Linked DNA regions of Yarrowia lipolytica. The protein of the gene in region 1 interacts with the protein of each later gene in a biochemical or structural test. Links are inferred from orthologs where the notes say so. Each region holds a gene or a part of one and is shown in the gene's direction. Other genes may lie near its edges.

What was found.
Region 2: of the proteins of YALI1_F14213g (region 1) and YALI1_D17770g, one has a biochemical effect on the other in vitro, tested with the Saccharomyces cerevisiae proteins (5 studies listed by BioGRID). The link is inferred for Yarrowia lipolytica from reciprocal best matches to the Saccharomyces cerevisiae genes MAF1 and SCH9.

Annotation. Positions count from the first base shown.
Region 1 is NC_090775.1:1,419,275-1,423,351, forward strand, and holds YALI1_F14213g (uncharacterized protein), read left to right. Parts: upstream 1-2,088; coding exon 2,089-2,094; intron 2,095-2,600; coding exon 2,601-3,494; downstream 3,495-4,077. Other genes in the region: YALI1_F14201g (uncharacterized protein), read right to left, coding at 322-852; YALI1_F14207g (uncharacterized protein), read left to right, coding at 1,434-1,895. UniProt on the Saccharomyces cerevisiae protein: Mediator of diverse signals that repress RNA polymerase III transcription. Inhibits the de novo assembly of TFIIIB onto DNA.
Region 2 is NC_090773.1:1,774,700-1,778,971, reverse strand, and holds YALI1_D17770g (uncharacterized protein), read left to right. Parts: upstream 1-1,947; coding exon 1,948-3,624; downstream 3,625-4,272. UniProt on the Saccharomyces cerevisiae protein: Protein kinase that is part of growth control pathway which is at least partially redundant with the cAMP pathway. Regulates both BCY1 phosphorylation and MPK1 activity.

The DNA of each region.
Region 1 (4,077 bases):
TGGGTTAGTATATTCTTACGGCGGTTAGACAGCCTGAAGTTACCTGGTAGGGAGGATCAGAAGAGTGTGTCGTCTGTCTGTCTGGAGAGATATCGGCGGACAACTGTAGGTCGGTAGTCAAGTAATAGAAGCTGGTCTTCCCATTAAAGCTGACCTTCAAAGCTGACCAAGATCATTGTAAACCACTTGTCGGTAGTCTGTCAACCAACATCGACTTCTGACAGTACACATTGCCACAACAGGAGGTTCAACAACGCAGAAATAAGACGATATTGACCCCACTTGATGCCGCTGAAAAATCCTGATCCAGACAGTCAACGCTCAAAATGATAGTGTTATTTGTTCGAGATCGAAATGCGGCCCTGCTGTTCTACTACTGTAGGCCTGAACAAACGCAGATAATGTGCGGTGAAAGCCGACCTTCGATCGGCCACCACATCCCCCCTGTCCGCTCACTTGCATACTCACTCTCTCTTTCTTGGCCTCCTCAAACTTCTTCTGGGCGTCAGTCAGATACGGCTCTTTAGGCGTTCGGGTGGTCTCCACTGGCGAGGTGCTCGCGGCAATCTTGGCCTTGTCCATTCGCTTGGAGGACGATCCCGGAATAGGGATCGCGCCCTTGGTCTCCACAGAAGGAGGAGTCTCCGAAATGGACTCTTTGGCATGCTCTGTATCGTGAGGAGACTTGGCGATATCCTTGGCTGAAGGCAGTGACATTGTTGGTGGTGATGAGGATGGTGCTGGTGCTGGAGAAGACGTCTTGGAGATCTTTTTCTTTTTCGACTTGGTTACTTTGCCCTTGTCGCCCTTGAGTTTCAACCGACCGCCCGGCTTAGTGTCGTAGAGGCCCATTATAAGGAAGCAGCGGGATCACGTGAATCTGACGTCACGATAGCAAGGAAGAGCGCCTGCGCCTTGTCTGGATCTCTGTGGGTTGGGGTTGGAGGTGTAACGGAGGTTGGGTTTGGTTTCAGATTGTGCTTACTAACCGTTCAGGGTACGGGTAGATCTCGTTGGTGTTGTTGCCGGGATTGTCGGTCGGAAAATCTCGGACTGGACGAGTGGGTCCACTGTGGCAGGTAAGAGGTGAAGTGAGGTGATGTTTTTGCTATCATGAAAATGGGGAAAAGGGGAAAATGGGGAAAATGGGGAAAATGGGGAAAATGGGGAAAATGGGAAAAATTGGGGAAAATGGGAAAAATTGGGGAAAATGGGAAAAGTTGGAAAAAAATGGGAAAAAATGGGAAAAACTTGCAAAAGTAATTCCCGATAACACAAAAAATTGTGGTTTTCTCGCAAATTTTACATGTATAAATCCTCGTCGCTTGTATAAATATCTTCTTTTTTTACATAAAATAACTGCCATTTGTTATTCTCCCAATCTAAATAAATTAATTAAACAGCAAGTTTAGAATGACAGCAATATCCAAGTGATGTTACCTGGAGCTACAAGTACGAGTACAATACGAGCACGAGTACTCGACGACCGTCTAAGACAGCTAAATCTCTGCCAAATACGGCGTGACTCATTAGGACACCAGATCACCAGCCTTCCTGACGCTCAAACTCCACCGCTACACTGCACGTTCTCTGCTGCTGCGTCCCGTTCTAGAAGTGGGAGTTCCCATTGTGGCAGTATAAGCTTATGTGATTGGCGGCACGGTGAGACGGGCGATGCGGGTATAATGATGGGACCTTGTTTATGGGGCGTGTTTGTGGGGGTCTATCAGAGTATGGGGAGGTTTAGGGCACCATGTAGACGGCGATATGGGCTAGGGGAGCGGTTCGGGGCCGTTGTTGTATTACTAAGCCGTCCGGTGGTCTTATCTGTGCTCCCTCCTCCTTCCCCCCGTCCAGATCCACGCCTTCCCCACCTGATCAGACTATGCATGTAGGCGCTATACATCCACCACGCAGTCCTGACATGACATACATTTGGACTCAAACTCAGCCAGTCCCACAACCGGAAAAGGAACATCAAAACGACCCTAGTCAGATCAAACGCCGTCGATTCGACCCTCCACGACACTCAGCAATACTCACACGGCCCGCCCAAGTTACACAAAGCCGCCGGCAACACACATCACAATGAAGGTAAGTGGTTGGAGACGGTACAGAGATTGTGTTCGATAAGCTGTTTGGCGAGGTCGGACGTCTTGGGGACGAAATGGGATACCGAGGGGGGTTTGTGGCGATTGATTTTTGCCCTTCAATCAGTCGAGGTTGGCGATGAAGGGGTGTTTCTTGAATGTTTATCCCTCAGACACCGGCTAACACGCGACGAAAATCACTCAGCGCGTGTTACCGGGGTGGTGTGGTGATAAGAAGAGGTTTCAGGATGTGCAAGTCGATTTTAGCAGACAGAGTTGTCGATACACACGAGGATAGACACACAGAGACATACAGAGAGGCACACAGAAAGGCGCACACAGCGACACACACAGAGAAACACGCAGAGGGTACACGCAAACATACCGTGCTCTCGACAAGCGACACAGACACAAGCCCAACCACAAACCCAGATGCGCATCTTAGTCTCTCTATCTGTGCCGTGATTGCTCTTCCCCCATCTCACAACCCATCAACTCACACTAACCCAGTTCATACAAGATCACACACTCGACGAGGTGGCATCAGCACTCAAATTCGACACACCCGAATGCCACGTTTCCGGCAACATTGACCTGTACACCACCAAACCCGCTTCCTCGGACAAGAAGCTGTACAAGGTGCTCGACAAGCAGCTGTCGTACCATCAAGACGCGCTCGACTCATTCACCTCCATCTCCACCCTCGGCACATCTTTCTCTCCCCCACAAGTGCTCACCTTTGACAACTACTACCAATACGGCAAATCGTTGGACAGCAGCGTCAGCAAGATGAGCAATCGAAGCCCCAAGGGCGTGAGCAAAGTGCCCAAGCAAAGAACCTATTCTTCCTCGAGAGCAGGCGTCTCTGTCGGCTCGCTATCGCCTCTACTCTCCTCTCCCTTTGGAGATATGAGCGAAACTGCCAGTAGGAAGGTGTTTGCTTATCTGATTGCGATTCTCAATGCGTCAGACCCTAATCACGACTTTTCCGTGCTACAGCCGGACGACTTTCAGCGCGAGCCGAGCGCATCGGCCGTGATTTCGTCCTTCAACAACGTGCTGTTCGGCCTGGGTATGCCGATCCCGCCCCGGATGTGGGACGTACTGGACAAGAGCATCGAGATGCACAACTGCACAATCTTTTCCTTCACGCCCGACGCCACGATTCTCGCCGACGAGCCTGGCGCCCTGTGGGCATTAAGCTGGTTCTTTTTCAATAAGAGAATGAAGCGAGTCGCATGTATTTCTCTCAACGCAAGGAGGCATTCTCTGTCGCCTACGCTGGGGCCCAAGATTATGAGGTCCGATGTGATCAACGGTGACGACGAAGAAGATTATGATCTCACGTATTCTTCCGACACTGACATGTACGACGAGATTGTCGGAGAACTTGATCTGGAGTAGTCCAGAGCACATTTTTATTTAACACAGCAGCACTCGGCCGAGAACACCACTCAGTTTAACAGTTCAACAATGTTCGAGCCTATGACGTTTGATTTTTCAACATATGAGTAATAAATGTATACCAGGTACGGTGGAGAGAGTAGATATGGCATTGGCGCTGCTGTGTATTCCCGCGAGTGCGCTGTGATTCGCTTCCCATCAGCTATACGCGGTCGGGGCTGGGTCAAACTATCCAATCATCTGTGTTGGACCAAGACATCGGCAATTCGCTCCCCGCCCCGTCAATGGCGTAATTGGCTGCCGAAGCGACATTGGTGATTGCGTATCGTGTCCAACGATATCCCCTGAGTCTATCGTGCATAGGCCTCGGTGTGCCTGATTGATAACTGGCTTCTATAGGTTCCATTACGGGGTGGAGGACGAGCACCGTGTGATGGACAGAGATATACAACGACTTGGGCTGGTTGCCGGGTTGTTTCTGGTGTTTCTATGTTTACAATTACCACAATATTTCTAGCCCATCTAGTCATTGTTGTGGTCTTGCTTTTGCGATGAGCGCATGCAAAATGTACCTGAAGTAAAC
Region 2 (4,272 bases), on another chromosome or scaffold:
TTTTTTATATTTTTATAACATATTTATTCACATACTCGGATACAGACAAAATCCAGTAAGTACATAGTTGAAATTGTAGTTGATGTTTTGTTACAAGATTGGTAAAGATGAAAAAACAAACGATAATGAGAGAAAAACAGCACAAACTCGGGGCAACCAAAAGGGTCACGTGACACATGAACCAACGTCGAATCCCGGACATCCCCACATGTTCAACTGTATTGGTAATCAGTGGTATATAGAGTTGCAAAAAAGTGTGGATTATCAATCAGGCTTTGAGATTGACCCGGGGTTGTACATTGTGTATTGTACATTGGAGATAGTGAAGGGGGGTTTTATGACTCTTTTGCAACGACAAAAACCGCGATGGGAAAGAAAAACAACTAATAAAGAGGGTGCTGCCTTATCGGATACTTTATGGTCTTATCAGACTCTATTCTATCCTCATTTCGATTTAAATCATTTTTTAAATTCAAATTATCCGATTTAAATCTTCTTTATTTTATTTTTAAATTCAAATTAACCAAATTCTTATATTTACTCTCCATTCTACAAGCAAAATCAGCTTATGATGACGGAGTTCTACGAGTTGCACGAGTTCTACTTGTACTTATGACCACGTTCTCTTGATTCAGATTACTCCTAGTGGACCGATAAATCTCTGAGACGGTCGATTCCCACTCGCCATGCTGATACTCGTACTTGTATTCCACATCTATACGCCCACATTTTCACTTACATGCGCGTCTCAAAGCATATATTAAAAAAGTTGAATGTGGGTCCGACAACAAGTCCGCGGCGGTTGTTTGGAGGGGGGCTCAAACGTCGGACAAAAATCGCATTTATTGTGGAAAAAGTCGGGAAAACCCGCCCGCGCGGCTCGCGTCCAAATCGCCCTTTTCCCGCCCAAAACCCAACGCTCATCGCACAGCTAGTGCTGGTTTCGGGCTGCGGCTTGTCAGCCTCGTGCTAATTTTTTTGCGTCGGAAAGCAAGCCCAAATCTGGAGAGCGATATAAGCAGAAAGTAGACGTGGTAGGGGCCACCCAGCCGTGTGTGTAGACACACAGAACCCAGAGCCGCGCAGGTGAGAGATGCGTGGTCCTTGGAGATTCTCAATCTGCGGAATTCCTAGCCAGCCACGTCCGCCGCCCCCGCCGCCGCAGTCGCCGTGAAGGCCGTCGCTCCAATCACACTATTCTTTTTCTTGGTAATTGAAGCAACGTCATGGGCTAGGGTTGTAGATAGAATGCATAATTAGAATGTGTTAGTGAGAGGCCGAGGGGTGTTTGTGGCGACGGGCAGAGCTTCTGACGGGAATCGGGGTGGTAACATCGTTTTGGTCGGGTCCAAAGACCCCATTTTCAGTCCCATTTGCCAAAAATCACCCGCCAAACCCCCACAAAGCAGCGTCCACCGCCAATCGTTATCGATAAAGAAAGTTTTCTTAGCGATAACTCGCAGCTTGTTCTTCATCACACCCAGCTACAGTAGTGTAATAGCTCGACACCACACACGACACAGAAGGCTCCCCCACGACCGTCTCCCCTAGCTGCCTCAAACACACTATGGTGGAGTTCCCCCGCTCTCTGTTTTCGTTCCACAAAAAGGTCAGCCCCCACCGTCAACCGACACCAAACAGGTTCCCCCAACCCCCCCGCCGGGCAGTTACTCCAACACAACCACAGGCCCCAGCACCAACACAAACGCCCCGTCGCCCGCGCCCCCGATCCTGCGATCTCCATCCACCACACACCTTCAACAAGTCCCCAAGGCCGTGTGCACCAGCGAAACCGTCAACGTCTCCGGCGAGATCATCCACGGCAAACGTCAATCCCGGGACCGTCTCCAGGAACTCGATCTGAAAAAGAAGTCGCTGTCGTCCAACACCACCACCCCAACCGTCAGCCAACCAACCTCCAGCAAGTCGTCGCTCAACTCCACCACCATGAACTTTGGCCAGATCCAGGAAAAAACCCCGCACGTGGGGCTCGAAGAATCCACCTCGTCCAAGGCCAAACTGGTGGCGAAAATCGTCGCCGCCCGAAACCTGCAGGCCGCCCCCAACTGCAGACCCTACGTGGTGTGCACCTTCGGCACCTCCGAGTTCATCACCGAGACCGGCGACTCGGATCCTAACGACGTGGCCATGGGCAACACCACCCCTATGGCGTCCAACGCCGGCGTCAACATCATGCCCAAGAAGCCCATCATGGCGTCGGGACACACCGTCGGATCCATCAACCCCACATGGAAGGAAGAGACCGTGTTCGACGTGACCGCCCGTGACGCCTCGGAGCTCGTCATCTCCGTCTACGACGGCGCCAACAACGACGCCTTTCTGGGCCACGTGCGCATCTCGACGATCCTGGGCCCCGGCAAGGTGCTCGATGCGTGGTACCCGCTGGAAAACCGAGTCGAGGGCGAGCACGTCAATGGCGAGGTGCGAGTGCAGGCGTACTACGAAGACACGGTGCGAACGAAGATGGGCCCCGAGGACTTTGAGATTCTGCGGCTCATTGGCAAGGGCACCTTTGGCCAGGTCTATCAGGTGCGAAAGAAGGACACGCGCCGAATCTACGCCATGAAGGTGCTGTCCAAGAAGGTGGTTGTGCAGAAGAAGGAGATTGCTCACACAATTGGCGAGCGAGACATTCTCGTGCGAACTTCTACTACCCAGTCACCCTTCATTGTCGGCCTCAAGTTTTCGTTCCAGACCGAGGCGGACCTGTACTTTGTTACCGATTACATGAGCGGAGGCGAACTGTTCTGGCACCTGCAGCGAGAGGGCCGATTCAGCGAGCAGCGAGCCAAGTTTTACATCGCCGAGCTCGTCATTGCGCTGGAACACCTGCACGACAACAACATTGTGTACCGAGACCTCAAGCCCGAAAACATTCTGCTTGACGCCAACGGACACATTGCTCTGTGTGACTTTGGTCTGTCCAAGGCCAATGTGACCCAGGGAGACACCACGTCCACATTTTGCGGCACCACCGAGTACCTTGCCCCCGAGGTGCTGCTGGACGAGTCCGGATACACCAAGATGGTCGACTTTTGGTCGCTGGGCGTGCTCATTTTCGAAATGTGCTGCGGCTGGTCGCCATTCCACGCCGATGACACCCAGCAGATGTACAAGAACATTGCTTTTGGCAAGGTCAAGTTCCCCAAGGATGCTTTGTCTGCCGAGGGCCGATCGTTCGTCAAGGGTCTGCTCAACAGAAACCCCGAAAACCGGCTGGGAGCCCAGGATGACGCTCGAGAGCTGCGGCGCCATCCCTTTTTCCACGATATCGACTGGGACCAGCTCATCCAGAAGAAGATCCCTCCTCCGTTCAAGCCACACGTGGCGTCGGAGACTGACACTTCCAACTTTGACCCCGAGTTCACCGAGGCGTCGACCTCGTTGTTCAAGTCGATGAAGGTGGGCACCCCACTGTCGCCACGAATCCAGGACAATTTCGTGGGCTTCACCTTTGTTGGCGAGTCGTCCATGGATGAGCATTTCAAGCACCGGCCCACCTCTCGACCCGTGGAGACTGTAGATGAGGATATGATGGAGAGTGATAACGAGGACGAGGATATGGGCGATGAGGAGATGTTCAGCGGGCGGTTTGAGATGTAACGAGTCTTGTCGAGCCGTTGTTCAAGACAATGGCGTTCTGTCTTTCTTTCAAGAAAAGAGACATGCGTCTACAGTTTTGTCGCACACGCCATTCGCTGTACGAGCCGTTGGACCGGCCGTTGGACAGGCCGTTGGTGGTGCGACGTTGCTATCCGTGCATTACATCCCTAGAACCACTTATTTTCTTTATTTTGTTAATACTATTTCTGTCAGATACGGATGGCCCTGGGCTGTCCGGAGTAGATGCGCCGTCTTTAGCAGTACGATTCGTATGGGCGATTCGTGCCGTGACGGTCGTCAGATGTGTCTCTGTTGAATGGTCAACGTTGGAGATGTTCAATGGGGGTCAATTGAAAGACAAATGGCACTTACAGAAATTTTGTGGAAGAGCGGGTCCAGCCATGTCAAGATAATAGGTTTATTGAGTGTTGCTTTTGGTGTCTAGCCACGAACCCACACATTGAAGGACATGAAGTCGCTGTGCGACAAAATTAATGACGTAAATGTACTCAGACGACCACGGGGATTTCGATGAAACAAAAATAAACGTCTCACGACCACTATTGATGAAGTTGGTAAGTCTGAGAGTTTCAACCATTTGGTCAACAAAACAAACCGATTTTACTTCACTTTAATTAGAAAACATAT